Linked DNA regions of Cricetulus griseus. The protein of the gene in region 2 interacts with the protein of the main gene of each other region in a biochemical or structural test. Links are inferred from orthologs where the notes say so. Each region holds a gene or a part of one and is shown on either strand. Other genes may lie near its edges.

What was found. The genes of interacting proteins can lie anywhere in the genome.
Region 1: the proteins of Slc9a3r1 (region 2) and Cftr form a complex in vitro, tested with the Homo sapiens proteins (9 studies listed by BioGRID and IntAct, with this or other methods). The link is inferred for Cricetulus griseus from reciprocal best matches to the Homo sapiens genes NHERF1 and CFTR.
Region 3: the proteins of Slc9a3r1 (region 2) and Adrb2 form a complex in vitro, tested with the Homo sapiens proteins (3 studies listed by BioGRID and IntAct, with this or other methods). The link is inferred for Cricetulus griseus from reciprocal best matches to the Homo sapiens genes NHERF1 and ADRB2.

What each region holds. Positions count from the first base shown.
Region 1 is NW_023276806.1:208,420,685-208,428,826, reverse strand, and holds the start of Cftr (cystic fibrosis transmembrane conductance regulator), read left to right. Parts: upstream 1-2,579; coding exon 2,580-2,922; intron 2,923-3,017; coding exon 3,018-3,126; intron 3,127-8,142. UniProt on the Homo sapiens protein: Epithelial ion channel that plays an important role in the regulation of epithelial ion and water transport and fluid homeostasis. Mediates the transport of chloride ions across the cell membrane.
Region 2 is NC_048600.1:127,780,549-127,788,144, forward strand, and holds part of Slc9a3r1 (Na(+)/H(+) exchange regulatory cofactor NHE-RF1), read left to right. Parts: intron 1-4,970; coding exon 4,971-5,132; intron 5,133-5,909; coding exon 5,910-6,063; intron 6,064-7,596. UniProt on the Homo sapiens protein: Scaffold protein that connects plasma membrane proteins with members of the ezrin/moesin/radixin family and thereby helps to link them to the actin cytoskeleton and to regulate their surface expression. Necessary for recycling of internalized ADRB2.
Region 3 is NC_048595.1:176,926,659-176,933,999, forward strand, and holds Adrb2 (beta-2 adrenergic receptor), read left to right. Parts: upstream 1-2,821; coding exon 2,822-4,078; downstream 4,079-7,341. UniProt on the Homo sapiens protein: Beta-adrenergic receptors mediate the catecholamine-induced activation of adenylate cyclase through the action of G proteins. The beta-2-adrenergic receptor binds epinephrine with an approximately 30-fold greater affinity than it does norepinephrine.

The DNA of each region.
Region 1 (8,142 bases), on a different chromosome or scaffold from region 2:
TGAATACATACATGATGGGAGATTTGTTTAGAAGTATGCTTCAAACTGATGGGACTAAATGTTTGGGATCCCATCTGAGTTTGAATCCACTAATATAGACATTCATTCAATTGGATGCTTCATCACCTAGAAATGGCAAAATATGTATAATAACATGTATGCACTTGGCTGTTAAATGACCCCTGGACAATGCAAGAACTCATTCATTACCTTTTCCCTGGTCCTTTTAAGGGAAAGCAGCTTGAGATCTCCTCAAGTTGTATAGCTTGGTCAGCTTTGATGATCTTTGAAATTTAATTCTTTATTTAGAGTCACATGTTGGTGAGAACAAAGAGGAACTGATAATAAATTAATTTCAGATTCTGTAAATCACATTTGATGGGTCACACTAGTAGTTATAAACTATGGAATGAGGGTGGGGAAAGGATAGAATGACTTCAGTTGCATAGCTGGGAAAAGTCAATATGAGTACTGAATTTCAATTTTTATCATAAAAGAGAGGAAAACATAAATACAGTACTTGAAAATACTGAGTTAGAATATACTGAAGCTTTCCCCTAGTGTCTGTCTGTACGAACTTTGATTTATTTTTTTGCTATTCTTTTTGTAATCAAATTCAGGATACTAAAAATTAAATGTCTTTATAATGGTTTTAAAGTAAGGAAAAAGGATAATGTAGATATGGGAAGTAAAGCTTGCAAAGCCTCTTGGCGATGATTATTTCAAGTGCATTTTTGTCTCAGCAGTATTATGAAATACATATTTTATTTGTGTTGTAGTTGGATGTCCACAAGTCAAAAATCAGATAATTCACAAGTAAACACTCCCAGTGTTTAGATGCTGAGGCAAAAATCAGGCCAGAACATTTTAATTTTTGATTTTGTTTCTTTAAAAATCTCAGACTCTAACCTTGGAACACTCAGCCCTAAATGGGATATCCATCAGATCCCTCCCCTGAGGCCTCAGGAAACCCTGCAGAAGAGGAGGCAGAAAGAGTGTAAGAGCCAGAGGGGAAGGAGGACACCATGAAAACAAAGTGCTCTAAATCAACATGAGCAAAACTCATATGAACTCACAGAGACTGAGGCAGCTTGCACAGGGCCTGCATGGTCTCACCAGGTTCTCTGCATGTAGATTAATTATGGCTTTTAGACTAGTGCATCCCTGGGCGTGTTTCTTGCGCCTTCCTTCTCTTGGGTTCTTTTCTGTTTGTTTTTGTCCAATTCCAATGTATTAATTTTTGTTTTATTATATTTTATTACTATTCCTTGGAAGCATGGTTGTTTTCTAATAAGAGACAGAAATGGAGTGGATCCAGAGAGAAGGGCATGTGGAGAGAAAGTAGGAGTAGTAGATGGAGGGAAAACAGTAATCAGGATATAATGTCTGGGGGTAAAAAAAAAAAAAAAAAACTATTTTCTTGTCTTTTTTTGTTTTGTTTTTGTTTTTGTTTGTTTGGTTTTGGGTTTCTTGAGCCATGATTGTCCTGGAACTTGCTCTGAGACCAGGCTGACCTCGAACTCAGAGATCAGTGCCGCCACTGCTTGGCTAAAAAGAAAATTCTATTTTTAATAAAAGGAAAAATAATTCAAACTCTATTTTACTTGCTTTGGCTAAATAGGGTTCAGGTATTTAAGTGTTGGCCCTTTAAAACCCACCACATTTTCATGTTGGACACAAAATTCTCACACCAAAAGCTTGGAAGGGGAAGGCACATAGCCTGGAAAACTCTCAAAGCCCCCAGAGAGCTAAAGACATAGGCATTTCTCTCAGTGAGCTCTTGGTGAATAGGATACCTTTGCTTCAGTGACTTTGGGTTCCTGTCAGATATTTTGCTTAGCAGACAAGGAAATCTAAAGGACAGTCATTTAGTTTAGACAGTCCACTTGTCATTTCTGTAGCACACACACATAAAAGCCTTCAGAAACACAAAACACTACAACACACACTGAACACATCCTGAGTGGGAAATAGGTAAAGCAATAGCTCCCTTTGTCCTCAAGGACTTTGTCTATAATTATGGCACATCGGAGGCATTGTGATACATGTGTCTGACACACATGCCTCCTAGGGGAAGCAGTTGCTCCCCATTCCTTGGTAGGGCTTTTGCTGTAATTATGACATATCAAGGAATTGTGACATATGCCTATGACATTCATGTACCTCATAGATGTCTGTGACTCTATGGCTACCCTAGAGACTTCAGTCAACAGAGCTAGGTCTTGTCCAGCTCTTGAAGGGCTTGCTGAGGTGGGACACCTCGGACTACTGTGGGACTTTGCACCTTTCTGCATCTGTACTTTGATTCCGAGGAGCCACGTTTTCATCTCCTCTTCAAAATGAATCTTGAAAAGTTAACTGTAACTCGGCCAAAAGCTACAGAGACAGGAGGAAGAGGGAGAGAAGGAAAAGGAGGAAAAAGAGGAGAAGATGAAGGTAGCAGAGGAGGGGGAAGAGAAGAAGGAAAAAGAGAAGAAAAAGAAAGAGATAAAGGAGGAAGAGAAGAAAGAGATGGAGGAGAAAGTGAAGAAGGAGGAGAGAGAGAAATAGAAGACTGGGAAGAGGGAGAAGAAAGGCTCATGGAAGCCAAGGAGGTCAGTCAGTGGTCCTTGGTCACACATAAGAAGCATATTAGCTCCCGCAGATTGGCCTTGGTTTCCCCGGACCTGGTGCCTGAGCCGTCACTGATATTGCTGCTGCCAGAAGGTAGGGATGTGGGGGGGGCGCTGGAGGGCGCGGGGAGTGAGCGCCAGGAGAAGGAGGCGCGGGCGGCATGCAAGGCGCGCAGGAGGAAGGAGCGCACGGGGCGGGCTTGGGGCGTGGAGAGCAGGGACTGGGGCTGGGCTAGGCAGTGCTGGCTTTTAACCTGGGCTACGGAGGCGGGGGAGGAAGGCAGAGAGAAGGGGAGGCGTGTGGGACCCAGTTGGTTAGGGGGGAATTGGAAGCAAATGACATCACCGCAGGTCCGACAAAAGGGGAATCGCTAAAAACATTGACTGGGTCCTGGATATTCAGAGGTCGAGTCCAACCTGAACGTGTCCAGACACAGACCTCAGTGCACCACGGAGACATCATGCAGAAGTCGCCTTTGGAGAAAGCCAGCTTTATCTCCAAACTCTTTTTCAGGTGAGAGGGTGCCAGGGGATCTTTGCAGGTGTGCCCATGCCAAAGAAGGGAATGCATATGGGCAGTCTTTGGGAAAACAGGAAGAGATTTTTTTGTTGTTTTCGTTTTGTTTTTAAAGGTGTGTTGTCATTCATTGTTTTAAAGGAAATGTGGATTTTATAGAATAAATTGAAGCTGATTAGATGGAGAACAAAATGTACTTGCAACTGAGAATCAGACTTGCAACACCTAAATATTTGCAGGGCAACAGTTTTCTTAATTTTTTTTCCTGAAAAATTTGTAAGATTTTCTTAATTAAAAATCCTTAAGGTTGGTTCATTGTTTTTCCCCAGGAAGCTTGTCTGCAGGTGTCATACCTGTATGTAGTAGGTGTTCAGAAAACATTTGCTGACTGAATTTTTTTGAGGAAGTATATAGTACTTTTTGCTATTGTAATATTAAGTCTGACATGCTCACCAAAAAGTAATGTAACCATAGTTACATTACTTTTTAAGAATGTGAGCAAGTCAGTTAAAATATTTATCTTTAAGCAGCAGAAATATCAAAAGCAAAGAATTTAGGAAAGCAGTAACCATGGGATATGAAGCTGGGGTTCTAGCTACTGAAGCTATATCCAACTGACACTTGGGACATTGTTCTCTTATCCTGCATTGCACAGCATGAGCCAAAACCTCAATAGAAAAGGATTTTAAAATTAGATTTTAAGTTGGGAGACCTAGGCAAGACTAATTAAGCACTTTGTATTTGACATGCTCTATGGCGCGGCTATTCTGTTCCTCTAGTGTGGATGAACGAAAAGAACAGCTCTCTCATGGGAGCTCACTTGACTCACAGCTCCTCAGGGAATCTAAACTTTAGCAAACTAAAGGACCAGAGTGTTGCATAGATTGTAAATGTGCCCTGTGGTGTGGGCAGGAGGCAAAGCTCAGCTTTCAGTCTTCTTGCCTTTGCCGCCGCCGGTGGGTCTAGAGCTCAGGACTAAGAGGACAAGTGCCTCTGTGGGAGAGCTCCTCCCAGTGGATGGGAGACAAGGTCTTTACCCTTTGGAGTTACCTTTGGTATTCACAGTGCTTTTGTTACTTCATCCATAAATTCAGCTTATCAGCCGGGATCTATTTTCCTACTACTCACAGCAACAGAGTGTTAATTGTCATAAACTGCACACTTTTATGAGATCATTTTGAGGAACCTACATGTCAGTGCCTCACGTTCTCATGAGAATGTCTCTTGTGTATTTTCCCCACTAAAGTATTAAGAAACTTAGATTGTTCATTTATCAGTGTTTCAAAAATCTCCCCTCTTATTATACAGCTCATTTATTTTAGTGTACCTTCCAAATGCTCTTAGGTTGATTTGGAAAGGAAAAATATTATAATGGCTGTGAAATTTGTTAAGCACATACTCATTTCTGTCCTTCAAACGATTTCATAATCAGTTGCTTTAAGAATAGGTGTGTTTTTAAGAGTTAAGTTCTTACTATTTATAGGCTCTGACATTCAGCTACAGTACCAGTCAGTGATTAGAAACTTCTTTCTGAACTATCCTTTTCAAAGATGAAAACCCTTTTTTTCCCATTGGACTAGGCATTTCTGCCTAGTGTCGAGGACAGTGGGCTCTGGGTTCCTATTGCCTGGTTTCAGGATTGCTTAATGGGCAAGTCCTTTCACATTTCTGTGTGACCTGACTTTTAAAACTTAGAGGCTGTCAATGTGCATATGACATAGTGGGTTAATCTGCTGAGTAGTTATGTCCTGGGCTTACTGAGGAAATGCTAGCTGCTATGGTTATTTTCTACATTTTATGTAAGACAATGAGTTTATTTCTGTTGGTTATAATTTTTGACTATCAACCTTTTTTTATGTGATGTGTATGTGTATTATATATTTGAGAAATTAATGTAAGGGATAGTCTCATCTAATATGGACTTACTAGATATTTAGGGGAAATCCATATGCTCAGATCTCCATAGATGCCTTAGAGTTTGAGTTTCTGAGTACTATCCCATCAGTTTTAGGGTATAAAAGACTAAAAAAACCTGAAGGCCATGTTTCCAATATTAGGGTCTGGGTTATGAATTATATTAAGTATCAGTTTAATTATCTAGGTTATATCACTAAAACCAAAACAAGCTTAATAAAAATATATTTTTGCAAGTGTTTACAGGAAGGAAAAGTTTGGAAGTCATTGGAAGTATTCTAACACAGAAGACAATTTTACCATGAAAATTTCAAGTATTTTGTGACTTTCACGGAAAATAGTACATTAACTAGAAGATGTTATAAATTTATGAAAAAAGTTGTTTTAAAACAAGTGGTGATATATTTGCATAGAATTTATGATTCATATATTAGTGTGATTAATTTATAAAAATCTTTGATTTTGAGAAATATTTAAACCTTACATTTTCATACAACTGTAGTAAAAAGATCATGCCTGATGTGTGCCTGGTAGAGTGTGTGTTTGTGTGTGTGTGTGTGTGTGTGTGTGTGTGTGTGTGTGTGTGTGTGTGTGTATGTGTAGACCAGAGGGTAATATAAGGTATCATCCTCTGAAAGCCCATCATGTCCTTTGAAACAGGTCTCATTGACCTGAATTTTTCCAATTATGTTTGACATGCTTGCCAGCAAACCCAGGAGTCTTCCTGCCTCTGCTTTCCCAGCACTGGGATTATCAGCCTGTGCTACATCACCTACCTATTTACATGGGTGCTTGGGTTTTTACTCAGGTCTTCATGCTTGTGAGGGAAATTACTGACTGAGCTATGAACAGTTACAAAAAATTGGGTAGTAGCATGTCCATTCTGTTTCTGATCCACAGACATTATCTTATGTTTGTCTGTTGGGCAAGACTTAGGGTATGCAAATCCAAAGGCCAGTTTTGATGGACTGAAGGTACAGTCCTGGTATTTAAGAAACCTAGTATAGTTGAATTCTACGTGTCCTTTAGTTAGTTGATGGATGCTATCCAGGGGCTATAGTTCCAGGTTTCCATGCTATCCTTTGGCTTTTTTTTTCCCAGTAGGAATTAGATGAAGCTGCATCTAGGATGGGGACTCTCTGGACACTGCACAAACACTGCCCAATGTTGGCTCTGTACCAGACCCTCAGAACTCTCTTCTGTTTATTTGCCTTTTGCTGATCATGTTTTGATACTACACAGCTCAGAGTTTTCAACTTGGGATAATATGTTAGTTTCATGTCAGTTTCATAGTTCTAAGAGTACCTCTTGTGCATGATATAATGAAAGTTGTCATTGTACATATATAATAAATATCTTGATATCGTTAAACTTATTTTAGTTGATGTCACAATTATTAAAATTTTATCAATGGTTTTACAGCCCATACCACACAATACACTTTTAATATTCAAGCCCCTGCTACTCAGAGCAGAGGAAGCTATTATTTTAAAAATAACTTCATCAACATGTTGTTTGATGTAAGTAACAATGAAATACCCCTTGATGCACACTTAATAATGATACACAGGGGAAATTGAGGCTTTTGGTTTTCTCTATGGAAGTTGGGCTTACTGTGTTAATACTCAATTCATAAATGTTGAAACTTGTTTAAGAGGTTCACGAGTGAATACCACCATAAAGTATATTATTACTGTAATGTCCTTTTACTGCAACCTATAATTTCAGTGTGGAAGCACTATAGATAAGTATAGGATTGGTAAACCATAAGGGAAGGGTGTTAACCATTTAGCTTACAGTTTAGACATCATTTGTTGAAACTTTGAAAACACCCATGAGTCAGCAGCAATTTGGCCATTTTGATACTCTGTTCCTGATACATCTTGTGTAGAGCATTTCCTCAGAGCAAAGTCCCTGCAAAGCCCTCAGTTTAAGAGGAGTAAATGTGAAAAGGGTCTAACTGTTTGGAGACACTGACAGTGATTTCATAAATCCGTTGTGCATCATCACAAAGGAAAACATTATTCTAGCGGCTTCCCTTCAGCACTAAGAAAGGAATGGGTGCAGCATGTAGCTTGGGTTTTTTTGTTTGTTTTGTTTTTCTGAATAAAATCAGTATTAAAAAGTGGCTTTCATAGACTTGATTGTCAGGGAACTTGGTTTTTTTAGCAAGAATCATGTAAAAGTTTATTTAACTATTAGGTGGCTTACATTCCTGCAAGAATCCTGTAAAAGTTTATTTAACTATTAGGTGGCTTACATTCCTGCAGAGTTTTTAAAGATACGGCTTTTACAACTGCATCTATGTGATGAGGTGAGGTTTGTCAAATTTACTTGTCAGATTCTCTGTACAGCCTATTAATAGCTGTCTGTTGAAATTAATGGTTATTTGAAATTGTAAACTAATTTTTGTATTGTTGTATTCAGAGCATTTCTGGACTTCTGGATTACATGGTTCTAATAGGCATCTCTTATTGGAATTGGCTCCATTGTGGTCAACTATAGAGATCCATATATGTTGTATATTGATGATGTTCAGCATTCCTGACATGGTGACAATCATTCTGATAAAATGTATCTGAGGAAACAACTGTTGACACATTTTAAATTCAGCAAGTGTTCTTTCAAAATTTCCTTGTGATGCTATGGCTGACCCTTTAAAAGATAGCCTGCTTGATGATTCTTGGATCTAGGATGAGGAAATGGTTTGGGTGGTTTGCAGTCTTTAGCATTGTTAGGATTCTCAGTCAGGAAAACATGCTCATGTTATTGTCAGATAATCTGCCACAAAGAACTATGTCTAAGTAATATTTCCTTGTAGGTCATGATTCAGAACAATTTTTCATCATTTTTAAAAATGTATTTTATATACCAACCACAGTTTCCCCTCCTTCTCCTCTCCCTCTCTCCCCCCACCTCCCTAACCCCGCTTCCGCTCCTCCTCCATTTCAATTTAGATGTGTTAAGGCCTCCCATAGGAATCAAGAAAGCATAACACACATCAAGCTGAGGCAAGATCAAGCTCCTCCCTCCTGCATCAAGGCTGAATAAGGCATCCCACCATAGGGAATATGTTGCAGAGAGCCAGCTCATACATCA
Region 2 (7,596 bases):
ATTGGTGTATCTGCAGCAGCCCCCGTTTTAGCTCTCCTGGTTCCTCCTGCTACCTGGCTCCTACAAGGACCACCACACACGTGAGCGCTCGCACACACACAAAGCAATTGGGAACAGAAGTGTTCTTGTACAGATGAAGAGAGGAAGGATCCTACAGGGAACTTGAAATGACATCAGGCTTGGTAGTAGCCAAGCCCACATCAGGAGTGAGCAGAGGACATCTTTAGCCTACAGGGGCTGAAGTGGCGCAGAGTTCCAAGCCCCTGGTCACTTCTCAGCCTGCCTAAAGGGCAGTGTTCCATGCTGCCTTTATGTGGCAACCCTCTGCAGAATCAAGCCATTTCCATCAAGCTTACTTGAGGAACAATGCCAGCTCCAAGCCTATGTCCCCCAAGTCCATGGGAAATAAACCCTAGCTGCTTCCCGCAGCAAAGCAGAAATGTCCCCAGCCTCTCCCCACAAAGGCTCCTCCTCCTGACCCCTCTTAGTCCCCCATCTCTATCTGGGGCTACTTCCCCTGTGTGGGACAGCAGGACACCAGCTTATTTCCATAAATAAGAGCCCTGGGCTGAGCTGGGCTGGGCTAGGCTGGGGAAGGACAGTCTTAGAAAGTATTCCCTGGCCACCCTGGGGGTCTTCCCACTCTCACAGCCATTGCTGCTGGGGCCTGGAACTGAGAGGCCCTTGGGAAGTGCTAGAAATTGCCCTGCTGTTTCTCCTGAGCCCATCACCATGGTATCAGCCAGGGAGGAGCTGGGCCCAAAGAGACATTGGTCCCCCAGCCACCCAGCGGACCTCCCTCAAGGGGGAGCATGGAGCGGCCTTGGGCCTGCTCCCCAGAGACTGCACTAGGACTAAGGTATCGACTTTCCTCGGCTTTCCAGGTGGCCCATGTGTGGGTGGTGACTATTGAATTCCGTGGTCCCCATCTTCTCCCTGGCCTACAAAGGGCGGGAGGAGATGTTGGCCTGGCTTCTTAGGGTGGGTTTGAACCCTGGGGCAGAGAGTCAAGGGGCAGCCCTCTGAAGAAGGGAGAAGGCTCCTTGAGGAGGGTTTGGAAGCAATGCTCCTGGACCTCTCTGGAAAGCTGAAAGGGAGGCTCAGTCCAGCATCATTCAGGTCCATTGACACCCTCTGCCACCATTGCCTGGGGCTTTTGCCTCTGTCTCCAGTCTCCTGAGCCTGTCCTGTATTTTACTTTGGAAGTTTATGTGGAGGCTGTATCTAGCCTCTGGGCCCATGTTCCCATGAAGGTGCTCCCCCTCCCCCCTGCACCCCGTCCCATGCTATTGCTTCTACTGGAGTTGGCACAAGTCGTAAGGCTGTTTAAGGTAGAGGGGGCACGCACACCAAGCCCAAGATTGTGTGGAGTTTTTCCCCCCTCTATCTCTTTTCCCAGAGGCACAATCCAAGCTCTGGTACCTTGCCCCTCCCCCATCTCTACTTGACTTGAGGCCTGGGAACCAGGGGCCTGCCCCCAGGGGACTCTTCTAAGCTCCACCCAAGCTGGGACGGGCTGACTCAGCAGCTGCATTGACAGTTCATGGGGACAGGAAGGGAATAGGCTTGTTTCTCTGAAAGTTTCAAACACCCCTCCCTCCCCCACTTGTGAAGGAAGAGACCTAAAACGGTAGTTCTCAACTTTCCCAATGCTGGGACCCTTTAATACAGTTCCTGGTATTGTGGTGACCCCAGTCATAAAACTATTTTCGATGGTACTTTATAACTATAATTTTGCTACAGTAAATCATCATGAAAATATCTGACATGCAAGATATCTGATGTATGACCCCTGTGAAAGGGTCGTTCGACCCCCAAAGGGGTCCTGACACACAGGTTGAGAACCACTGCTCTAGAGAGACTTCTGAAAGGGACCCATTAGCATGGAAGGGTCTGTGAGTGCTTCATAGACCGGGCTTTCTAGAATACCAGTCACCTACGCTACCACCCACAGACCCCTGGATCAACCACAGAGCCACCCAGAGGGCAATAGAGTAGAGGATGTCTTATCCCCTTAGGCAGGATCCTCTAAGTCTTCCTGGTCCTCATGCTGCCAGAAGGATGCAAAGTGGACCTTTGAACTCTGATGACATGTCACTAGAAAGGGGATGCTGAGGTGCGGTAGGGAAACCCCAAAGCACAGACTTGGAACTGGAAGGTGGGCATCACAGAGACACCTAGCCCAGCCCTGCCCAGTACTAGGGAGCCACCCCTCCTGAACCCTCAGCCTGGCTCTAGCCACAGTGCCAGCCCGGGCATGCTCACAGCCTCGTCACCTAGGCCAGGCTTTATCCTTCCACTCAGGTTGGGGCTCTGGCTGCAAGAGGCGTGGAGCTCCCGGAAGGAAGCCTGTGGTTTCATTAGCTCCCAGACACCTGGTCAGTGTGAGAAGCGCCCCCACCATCTGCCTATCACTAGGCTTCACTCCAGGCTGCCTAGTTCTGGACTCAACGCTTAAGGGCAAGCCCGATGTTGTGGTGGGAGGAAAGCAAGTCTCTAGTCAGACTGAGTGGGCTTTAACCTTTCTGTGTTGTAATTTCCCTGTCTCAAAAACAGCTAACCAGCTTCAGCCAGGCTGCTGTGGGAAGTCTGGGGAAAGGGAATCCTGGGGGGGGCGGGGGGAGTGGAAGGCAAGCTGGGATTCCACACACTGAGGGCCAGAGGAGGTGTGTGGCTAAGGTAGAAAGCTGAGCCCGTCTGTCCTGGTGGCAGCAACTCGTCAGACCTGTTCAGCTCACCTAGGCAGCCTGGGGGAGGGCCTGTGGCAGCTTTGTGCGGGGATTAGCTGCAAGGAAGAGACTCCTCACTCCCGGAACTACATGGTTCTGGAGGTGGGGGTGGGCTCCTGGAGGGGCTAGGTCACAGCAGGTGAAGGGCTGGATAGGCTGAGGGAAGGAGGGGCCTCCTGTGGTACCCTCTTTTTGCTACTCATTTGGTTGTCTTTGCTGTTTGAGGTGAGGGGTCTCTGGGATCTGGGTAAGTAACCACTATGGAAAATCCCGACTGTCACCTTCTGTCTTCTGGACTCTTTACATTCCTCACCAACATCCTGAACACAGGTACACAAAGCCTGCCCAAGCATTTTTTTTTTTTTTTACATCTTTAAAATTTACTGTGTGAACATATGTATTATGTTGTGTGGGGTGGGAGTGCCATGGTCATAGGACAACCTGTGGGAGTCACTTCTCTCTTTCCACCCTGTGGGTCTTGGAGAGCAAACTCGGGCTGAGCTTGGCAGCAAGTACCTTACCCCAACCAGCAATCTCTTCTTTGGGATGGCAATGCTGGTAAGGTGAGGCTGGAGGCCCCAAAGCTTTCCCTTTACTCCTCCCTCCTCTTCCCCTCCCTTGCCTTTTGTACCCCCAGCTGAGGATTTGGGTTTCAGAGCAATCTAGCCACTACCCTCCCCAACCCAGTAGTATCTCAGAGTTACATGCTTGTTCCTTAGTAGCAAGAACAATGGCAAAGTCCTGGTATGCTTGGGGACTTAGTGAGAACAATGGCAACATCCAGGTCTGGGCAGGCACTGGGAAGTTCAAAGTGTGGCTTTATACTGTGTCATTGGGCCTCAGCAGCAACCCAGAGAAGCAGGTAGCAATAAACACCTCTAGAAAGGAAGACCCTGAGACCCAGAAATGGAAATGATTCGCCCCAAGTCACAAGCTAGTAGGAGCACTTTGTTGCCCCATAGGGTAGGTGGCAACTAGGGTTCCAGCCAGTGGAGAACAGGCTTGCCCCAGGCTTGGAGTTGGGGTCAGGGTGGAGCTCGGGTAGGGCTTGCAGAGCCTCCAGCTTCTGTAGGCTCGTGTCCAGTGTCTGTCCATCTGTCAGCCTGTGTCATGAAAGCATCAAGACTGTAGCTTCAGAGCTGAGCTGCCCAAAGAGGACGGAAGATATTGAAATTGTCCCAGCTAATGCCAGGGTGCACAAAAGACACTAGCTTATGTCTTTCAGGGGAAAGAGGGGTGGCGGTGAGATGGCTCAGTGGGTCAAGGCACTTGCCACCAAGTCTGATGACCTGACTCCCAATTGTGAAAGGAGAGAACCAACTCTCACAAGTTGCCCTTTAACCCCGTTTGTGGGCTATGTCATACTCATGCTCTCTCTCACACACACTAAATAAATAAATACTGTTAAAAGGAAGAGGCCAGGCGGTGGTGGTGCACCCAGGAGGCAGAGGCAGGCAGATCTCAGAGTTTGAGACCAGCCTGGTCTACAGAGTTACACAGAGAAACCCTGTCTCCAAAACAAAACAAAACAAAAAATCAACAACCCAAAAAGTAACAGGCCCTGCTTTCCAGGCCACGGTCTGACCACATTGGCCCAGCCCTCTTTCATGGTCTCCTCCCCATATGAATCCTTGGGGGATTAGACACACACACACACACACACACACACACACACACACACACACACACACACCTCTGTTGCTCCCTATATCCTTGGCTGGATCTAGAGCTAAAAGTCCCATCTACCCCAGGACTCTTCCCCCAGCCACCTGCTGGGTTTCAGGTTATCAGGGTCACATTTGGCTGGGCCATTTGGCTCACTGGAGTCGAGGAGGGAGCCCACTAGAGATGAAAACCTTTACTGTAAACAAACTGGCCAGCTTTCAGTAAACAGCTATCCATGCTCTCACAACAGAGAACAGATACAGGGGCCAGGTGCCCACTCATGAGTCTCAGGTGCCCAGCCAGGCCTAGGAGGACCAGATGAGCCGTGGGTGGAAAAGGATAAGACCAAACACATGAGTAGTAGAATCCAGGAGGGAACCTAGCCCAGGCAAGACGGTGGCTCACCCAGAGCCAGTCGGCTTACTTCAGTGCTAAGTGTCTATTCATATCTGAACCCTGGGCCAGATTCTCTTGCCTTGCTCTGTGGGCTCCAATCACCACTGGAGGAGAGTGGAGTTGGAGAAGGTGGTATTGGGACATTGTGGAATGACATGGCTGCTTCCTACATCCCCACAGCGTGAGCTCCGGCCTCGGCTCTGCACCATGAAGAAAGGCCCCAATGGCTATGGCTTCAACCTGCACAGCGACAAGTCTAAGCCAGGCCAGTTCATCCGAGCAGTGGACCCAGATTCCCCCGCAGAGGCCTCTGGACTCCGAGCCCAAGACCGCATTGTGGAGGTGATACCCTGTACAACATTCTCTGTACTCTCCCAGGCTCTTCCTTCCTGATCTTTGCTGCTTGGGGGCAGCCTCGTACCGTCTGTGGTTTGATTAACCCATGGGATGTGGGCAGTGCAGACAGAGGTGCTGGACGGTGGGCAGCTGCACAGGTAGAGTAGAGGCACAGAAAGGATAGGTGCTAAGTGGTAAATGGGACTAGACAGGCTTAATGGTTCTGCTTTACCAAATGCACACTCTACACCCAGGATTTATCTGCCAAAATCCAGGTAGATGCCAGAGGCCACCAGCACGGCCTTCCTGATGCCTGAGCACTCTGGGCCAGGCACAAGGATGGACCCAACACCCTCTCCTGAGTTCAGCTTTGAGACACTGTTCTTCGGCTGTGCTCACGACAGAGGAAATGTGAACTAAATGCTTGGGCTGGTCCCAGAATCACAGTGTGAGAACCTTAGAGCCACAGATCAGCTCTTCCAAGACTTCTCACTTTACACGTGAGAAAACCAAGGCCCAGAGAGGGAGGTCAGAGGAGAGCCCAGCCCGGGCTCCCAGGCCTCCCCTTGCTCACAGCTGTGTTTGCATAGTCTCCTCTGGGTATTTTCTTTGGCGCTTCCCATTTGTCTTGCTTCCCAACTGACTGTCAGAGAACTGCTGGCTGGCTGGGTTCGGGACTAGGCACATGTGGGGATTCAGCATTCCCGGGTGGGACCTCTTCCACCTGCCCTCCCCAGCACTGAGACCTGTGTGGGTGACCCCCGTCCCTGCCCTGCCTCACAGGTCAATGGTGTCTGCATGGAGGGCAAGCAGCATGGGGACGTGGTATCTGCCATCAAGGCTGGAGGGGATGAGGCCAAGCTGCTGGTGGTAGACAAGGAGACTGATGAGTTCTTCAAGAAGTGCAAAGTGATCCCGTCACAGGAACACCTGGATGGTGAGTGCACAGCTGGGTGTGTGGCCAAGTGCCTAAGACTTGGCCAGAAATGGGGGGTAGCTTCTCGGATTGTAAGGAGAGACCCAATAGCACAGGTTGGAGGAGAGTAGAAGCTGGGATGGGCCATGAGCGTCTAAAGGTGGCAGCTGATGGTAATTAACCACAATTAACATGAAGGAGGGATGAGATTCAGTACCAAGCACGGCCTGGGCCTCTCCCTAGTCCAGTGAGTTCTCAGACTGACGGTCCCTCTGAGAGGAAAGAGTTAACTCTGGAGCAGCCTCCAGCCTTTGCTGGGCAGATCAGAGTCCAGTGACAGGGGCCCAGTGCTCCCCTCCCCCTTTGTCAAGTTGCCTTGGAAACTCAGGCTTGCTGGCTCTGGAGAGTAGTGGGTCCCCTTCAGTCCCTGGGCCCCTGCCCTCTCCCCCTCCCCCACTCTCATCTTGCCAAGCCTGGCACCTCTTCCTGTTCAAGCCAAGCCAAAGTGAGTAGGGCCACCACACCACACCACACAGCAGGAGGGGCTGAGCACCCCTACTCCTTAGTCCAGACTTTCTGCCTGGGAAGATGGCTCTGGAAGTGTGCTCTGTTGTGCTATGCCGAAAGTGAAACCTGTCTGGACTTTGCAATGGGTTCACATAGCTCAGATCTCCGAGGCGGATGCAGTGTGGAGGATTCACGGGTCTCAGAACCTAATATACAGAGGCACCACACCATCTTCACTAGTCTCTGGAGGTGGACCAGCCTTCCCCCAAGCCGAAAGCCGGGGGCTGACTTTCTCTCTCACTGGCCTCTCCTGACTCTGCTCAGGACATTGCCTTTGCACCTCCTTGTCCCCTCATTTCCAGATGCCAGACAGTTGCCATTATTGTCTTTCCAAGGCAGCAGGTGCCAGCTATATAATCTGAGGTGTGGCCCTAAATCTGCCTTCAGCCCCTGAGAGGTGTGAATACCAAGGCCCAGCCCTGCCCTAGGGTGGATGTGGGTGGAGGTCAGTTCTCTCTTCTACCATCTGGGTCCTGGAGATCCAACTCAGGTAATCAGGTCACCACTGAGCCATCTCTCTGGCCACACACAGGTGATCTGTTTTTTGACTGGCTACCCTAGAACTCCATCCCATCTTAGCGCTCCTGCAAGCCTGGCATCTTGGCATTCTGGGTCAGATGTCAAGCTAGGCCCAGAAAGGTAGCTCAGTGGTAGAGCACTAATTAGTATACGGAGGGCTGTGTGTTTGGCCCCCAGCACTGCACCAAGTATTACTGTTAAAGGGAGCTGTCTTGTCTATCACAAGTTGCCAGTCAGCATCAAGTAGCCCTCCTCAAGTGTGATCCTCCTATGCACACACCCAAAAAAGTTCCTCCAGTTTGCCAAATGAGACATTGTAAGAGTAAGTTGTAGTTGAAAATACCAAAGTATGGCACTGTAGTGGGGTCTTGTTTTCTGAAATTGTCAAACAATCTTTCTGGGCACTGGGTCATCAAAATGTCAAATTACATACAGTAGGTTTCAGCCAAAAACACTGTGGCCTTTGAC
Region 3 (7,341 bases), on a different chromosome or scaffold from region 2:
ACTCCATACCCTCGCACAAACAGGAAGTAGGTTTTAAATGTTTTAGTTCCACATTCAGGGTAGATGTGTATTTAAAGGAAGGTTGTTGCATAACACAAAGCCTCATCCTAAAATGCATCAAACCAGAGCCAATTTTGGAAAACACAAATATGAGGTGGGTGTATTTTTAAAACTATGTGAACATAATAAATCTTTAATTGATATTTGTGGGCTTATGGAAAATATTTTGAGACACTTGTCAAAAAAAAGTGTGTGCTGCTGAAGAAGTTTCATTTCTAAGCCCCATTTCTGAAGTAAACACTGCACCATCCTTTTTCATAAAGTGTTTTATAGTTCTGCTGGAGGAAACTAGTAATATGTTCTAAAGGATTAAGTAAATGATATAAAGTACACTAGCAAGCTCACATTGGTCTGATATTTATCTATGTAACAGCCCTTTCATAGTTTCTATTGAATTTGATTCTCACTCATTCCAATGAAAATGACTTTATCACACTATCACACATTATCATTCTACACACACACACACACACACACACACACACACACACACACACACTTACACGTGCACCCCCTTAGAGATTGAAGGAATTTGGTTCCTTCATTGTGGTTTGACTAAGGAAAACAAAAGTTAAAGTTCCAAGGTGCACCTGAAACACACGTGCTCCAATCCCAGTTGTAGGTTTCTTCTAGACGACCCCCCCTCATTTTTCTTCATGGAATAACATAATACCTTAGAAAGATTGAAAAACTGGATGCTAGAATCAGACAGATTCAGGTTCAGATTCATCTTCTGGTACTGCCTGGCCAGTATCCACTGGCAAGCTATTTGCCCCATTGAGCCCCACTGGAGAACTGAGCTAAAAATACCCCCATGGGACTATGGGAGGGATTAAATGCAATAATGCACAAAAGGGGCATAGCAGAATGTTCCCTAAATGTCAGCTATTGTTATGTTATTATGTAATCTACAAAGTATGTTTGGTTATGCGGTGTGAAAGACTTGCAGTTTGTCAAAGATAACACATGTGAAATCAAACGCAAAAAATTATTTGTTTTCCCAATAGTCAAAATCATTTTCCAGATGAGGATAGTATTTCATGAATCTAGGTCTTTGTCTGATTTTTTTTAAAGGGGGGAAACAACTATCATTTACTTTCTGTAGTTTTAAAATGGTCTCCAGAGAGCATGTTTTTAATATAATGTTATATGAAATTATGGGTTTTTTTTAAAACAATAGTAGCAAGTCCAACAGTAGCAAGTTCACATGACACAGCTTAAAAGATTAACAAATTATCCAGCCAACACATGAAATGATATTTTTATAGTTTCAATGGAGTAATTGAAGAAATTCTTTGAAATGAAAATTATCTGGACTGGAGAGGTGCCTCGGTGGTTAAGAGAACATTAAGTGCTCTTCCAGAGGACCAGGGTTCAATCTCAGCACCCACATGTCAGCTTATGAGCTGGTACATTTCTGTATCTCCAGTCCTATGGAATCTGATGCTCTCTCCTGACCTTCAAAATAAGCACAAATACAATGAAAAGACATACCTAGAGATAAAACTCCCATATGTGTAAAATAAATGAATTTAACTTAACTTTTAAAAATGTAAAAGGAAAATATTACATTTTCATTTTCAATGCATCCTCATATAACAAGAAAATGATGCCACACTCCCAAGAATTAAAAATAAAATAAAACCACCTAACTCTCCCCTAAATGTGTAAATACTTGAACTCCTAATGAAAGACAAAGGGTAAATTACTGCCTCGATGCCTGCAAGGTCTCAAGGGGGGAGGATGCCAAAACATATTTTTCAAAAAGTGTGCAGAGAAACTGTAGCTATTGAAGTCACCTCCTGTGCTCTTGCCAAATAACTGTAAGGGAATATACTGAGAGTCTGGGAATGGGAAAAGAGGGTGTCATTTATAAGTGCTTCAGGAGGATGCTACCTGGATGTGGACATGGGTGTCTGAATGGTCCGCACACCACATCTCCACATGAGCTCTTGTGTACATTTCTTTCTGCATGTTTCTAGGTATTCCTGTGTTTGTTTTTAGCCACCTTTCTGCATTGGACCAGGAGACAGCTGTCGTCTCCAGCGTGAGTGGGCGCGGGTGTGTCTCGGTGTCTGTGGCTGTGGTGCGGCATAAGTCTGAGCATGTCCACGTCGGCCGAGTGCGTTTGTGCCTGTGTATGCGTGTCCGAGTGTGCTTGTTCAGTCTCTCTTCTCTGTTCCTAAAGGAAAATGCGCTGTGTGCCACCTGCATCCAGAGACCTCAGCCCGCAGAGGTGACCTGCACGGACAGGTAGAAGAACTTCCAGACTGCGCTTGGTTGGTGGATCGTACAGCAGCTCCAGATTTCTGTCTCTGAGGCCCCACTAGGGTAGCTGGGAGGGAGTGGTGGCTTGGCCTCCGGGGAGCACTGGGGCCCCGCCCGGACCAACCCCAGGAGGAGGCGGGCTAGGCAGGGAGGGTTGGCCCTTGGTGCCTCGCCCCTCCGGGCATGCGACCGTACCATTGGCCCAAAGTTGTTGCACGTCACCAAGCAATTCCCCTAAAGTCCGGTGCACATAACGGGCAGGGAGCATTGCGAGACTGCTTCTCCAGCGTTCAGGCTGCAGCTAGCAGGCACCGCGAACCCAGAGCACCCCACGAGCTGAGTGTGCAGAACGCGCCCCCAGCACAGCCACCTACAGCCGCTGAATGAAGCTTCCAGGAGTCCGTCCCCGGCAGGCTGTGCCCCGTCGGAGGTGCACCCGCTGAGAGCGCCAGGGCGCCCAAAGCCAGTGCACTCACCTGCTAGTCTGCCAGCGATGGGGCCACCCGGGAACGACAGTGACTTCTTGCTGACACCCAACGGAAGCCATACGCCGGACCACGACATCACTCAGGAACGGGACGAAGCGTGGGTGGTAGGCATGGCCATCCTCATGTCGGTTATCGTCCTGGCCATCGTGTTTGGCAACGTGCTGGTCATCACAGCCATTGCCAAGTTCGAGAGACTACAGACCGTCACCAACTACTTCATAACCTCCTTGGCGTGTGCTGATCTAGTCATGGGCCTAGCGGTGGTGCCGTTTGGGGCCAGTCACATCCTTATGAAAATGTGGAATTTTGGCAACTTCTGGTGTGAGTTCTGGACTTCCATTGATGTGTTATGCGTCACAGCCAGCATTGAGACCCTGTGTGTGATAGCAGTGGATCGCTACATTGCTATCACATCGCCATTCAAGTACCAGAGCCTGCTGACCAAGAATAAGGCCCGAATGGTCATCCTAATGGTGTGGATTGTATCCGGCCTTACCTCCTTCTTGCCCATCCAGATGCACTGGTACCGTGCCACCCACAAGAAAGCCATCACCTGCTATCTCAAGGAGACTTGCTGTGACTTCTTCACGAACCAGGCCTATGCCATTGCTTCCTCCATTGTGTCTTTCTACGTGCCTCTAGTGGTCATGGTCTTTGTCTATTCCAGGGTCTTCCAGGTGGCCAAAAGGCAACTCCAGAAGATAGACAAATCTGAGGGAAGATTCCATTCCCAAAACCTCAGCCAGGTGGAGCAGGATGGGCGGAGTGGGCACGGACTCCGAAGGTCCTCCAAGTTCTGCTTGAAGGAGCACAAAGCCCTCAAGACTTTAGGCATCATCATGGGCACATTCACCCTCTGCTGGCTGCCCTTCTTCATTGTCAACATCGTGCATGTCATCCAGGAAAACCTCATCCCTAAGGAAGTTTACATCCTCCTTAACTGGTTGGGCTATGTCAATTCTGCTTTCAATCCCCTGATCTACTGTCGGAGTCCAGACTTCAGGATTGCCTTCCAGGAGCTTTTATGCCTCCGCAGGTCTTCTGCGAAAGCCTATGGGAATGGCTACTCCACCAACAGTAATGGCAAAACAGACTACATGGGGGAGGCAAGTGAATGTCAGTTGGGGCAGGAAAAAGAAAGTGAACTGCTGTGTGAGGACACCCCAGGCACGGAAAGCTTTGCGAACTGTCAAGGTACTGTGTCTAGCCTTAGCCTTGATTCCCAAGGGAGGAACTGTAGTACAAATGACTCACCACTGTAATGCAGGCTTTCTGCTTTTTAAGACCCCTCCCTGACAGGACACTAACCAGACTATTTAACTTGAGTGTAATAACTTTAGAATAAAATTGTATAGAGATTTGCAGAAGGGGAACATCCTTCTGCCCTTTTTTATTTTATTTTTTTAAGCTGCAAAAACAAGAGAGGGGGAGAAGCTGTATTTGAGTGCTTATTTGTTTCTTGTGCAGTTCAGTTCCTCTTTGCACGGAACTTAAAAGTTTCTGTCTGAAGCGTGTTGGTCCTAGAGGACTGTCTGTACGTTTAGATGATTTTTCCATGCATCTACCTCATTGGTCAAGTGTTAGGGTATACTATTATTGCTGCTAGTAATTTGTATCAGAAGGAAGTTTTCCTTCCTGTACCCTTGGACTTGACAATCCTGTGTCTTGGACCTTTCTGCTGTGAATATATACTCTCCCCCGCTCCACTTATTTGCTCAAATGGAGTGTTGTAGGCAGTGATCTGAGGGACAGCTTCAGCTGTTTTTTTCTGAGCAAAGTCTAAAGTTTACAGTAAATAAATTGTTTGACCATGATTTCATTGCACCTGTTTCTCCAAAACCTCTTGACTCTGGAGTGTCCTTGTCTTTCCCACTGGAAACCACAGGTAACTATGTGTCATAACTGCTGTGTGTCTTGATGTGGAAGGGTACCAGAATGGTATGCATTGATTGCCTAGCCCTCCCATGTGCCTTTGGATTTCCAAATGCAAACCTGTGTCTTTCCTAATTTTACTTGTGCCCCAAATCAGTTCTGCCTGCTCTCAGCATAACCCAGTGTGTCCTACAGTTGCTATTCTGTGCTGTCACCTCGGAAACCCTGACTCAGAGAGAGAGAGAGAGAGAGAGAGAGAGAGAGAGAGAGAGAGAGAGAGAGAGGAGAGAGTGTGTGTTCTGGGCATACGTTCTGTCCCACATGCTCCTGCTACCTACCTTCCAGCCCTTGTTTAAAAACTGTGTGGATTTATATCACTGGCATCTTTTACAGTAGTGCCCTTTGTACTGCAGCAGGGCTTGGTGTATTCAGGATGAGGAAGATGTTCTGTGTAAAGCTATTCAGGAATCTCAGAATTCCAAGGGAAATCAGAGACCTTGGTCATAGAGTGCAAAGCTTTCAAAGATAGCTGGTGAATAGTTCATACCCTGAACACGGGTTCAGCCTCTCCCTTCTTCCGCTTTCCTGGTCTCCTCTCCCCTGATTCTCTGCACTTCTTTGTAAATCAGGCTTTCTCATGCCTGGCATTCCCATGCATTATAGGATATTTAGCAGCAGACCTGCACCCAATTAATTCCAGTGGCACCCCTCAAGTTTATAAATCATAGACCAAAATAACCTCAGCCATGACCTATTACCCCTCAGGACAAAGTAGTCCTTTGCAGAAAGCCTGTTGTAGACTTTGAAAATATAAATTAGCTGGGTTTTGCTATTTACTACAAATGCTGTGTTTTTGACACCTAGGAGAAGGGAGAAGGTTTTTGGGTTTTGTTTTGTTTTTTTGTCCCCAGTTCACTCAGTTTTGACAGTCCCTCGGCCCCTCTTCTTTCTTCTTCATCATGCTGCCTTCTAAACTTGTGTTCCAGCTGTCCAGGTAGTTGCCACAAGTTAAGGTTTGAGTTATTTTGGAGGGTTTATCAGTAGAGGTGAGGCCCACAGGCCCTCACTGCCTGTTTGCAGAGAGATTATAATACTGTTAAGAGGCACAGAGGGAAATCACAAAAGTAAACACATTACTTCTCGCAGCCTCATTCTATTTTTGCCTGTGTGTTGGAGCCAGAGCATGGCCCAGGTTTCATGGAGTGGATCGTCCTCCCTGGCAACACCAGGCTGGAAAGGATCAGCCTGCAAGGGTCAGTGCCATCCCTTTTGCTCTTAAAGCTAATTCTACTTCTCTTTCCCCTACTGTCCAAGGTCCCCAACACCGGCCTCCTCTGCTTCTCAAAAGCTCAGTGATGGGACCTCTGATGAGCATTGATCTCTCAAAGGGAGGCTAAGCACATGCTGTGCAAAGTGCAACGTATGTTATTCTGTGCAAACACATTTTGGTCAAGGTTTTCATACCACAGTCTCCTCCTCCTCGAGGCCTCATGTTTGATGGTACAGCAAGCTTCTCCAGATATTTTTCACATATCCCATAGCCTAACAAGGTCTTGGATTTGGAAGAGCTGGTAATATGAATAGCCTGAAAGCCTAATAGAGGAAACTGCCCAAGGTAAGTGACCAAAGATGCTAGAGCAGGGATAAGCCAGGAGCCCAACAGCCTGCCAGCATCACTGCTGAGCTCTGCCCTCATCTGAATTATGGAGCCTTTCCTTGAGGCTATACCATACTTTAGTCATCGTCTTTTAATACGAAAATCAGGAACTAAATAAATACTCTGCAAAAGGAACAAGAACTTGGCTTTATTAAGAAGAATCTACTAGATTATTCCTTGCGTTAGGGAAGTTGAAAGATCTCCTGACTCTTTATAACCAGCAAGTAATTTCAAAAGACTTCAGTTAGAATCCCTCACCGTTTTAAGATGTGTGTGTGTGTGTGTGTGTGTTAAATATAGTATATATTAAAAACCTTCCTGTCATTTGTTAATTAAGTAGACAGGAAAAACTATTAATAAATAAGCCAATAATATGCATACAATACCCTTGGCACTTCAAATGCACTTTGCTAGAATTTCAGCTATAAAGGTTAACGTCAATTCTCAGGTAAAGGAGACTTTTGCAATATCTGAGTCCCTTTAGGTATGCTTTAAGCTTAAGAACTTGCATCAGTTTTAAGAGGCTTGGAAAACAGGAACATCATGGGCCTATCGCAACCCCTTGTCTTTCACCTTTTATGTAGTTTTGTTTTCCCCTGTCCCTCCGTGTCTCCTGTTTGTTGACATGCTAGTTACATAAGATCTGTGTTGGATTCATCACCATAAAGTTTTCTTTGCCTGGACAGCAAGTTCTCAGGGTCTGTCAAATGAGAACCTTATCCTGACACTCAAGCTGACAGGTGTGAGTGGTGGCGGACAGGGTGGGCCTGCCTGCAAGATAATTACTGAGGCAAGGAATCTAGGAGGGGAAAGGAGCCTGGCAATAGGAGCTGTCCTTACATGCTGCTGAGATTGTTTGTAGATTTGCTGCCAAATCCGTCCATACCAGAAAGAACCCTGGAGTTTGTGTAGCACACCTGCTGTGTGCAGCATGAGAGAAGTATAGGCTGAGTGCGCTGTCCTCTTTCTAGACCACAATATATAACACTAAACAGT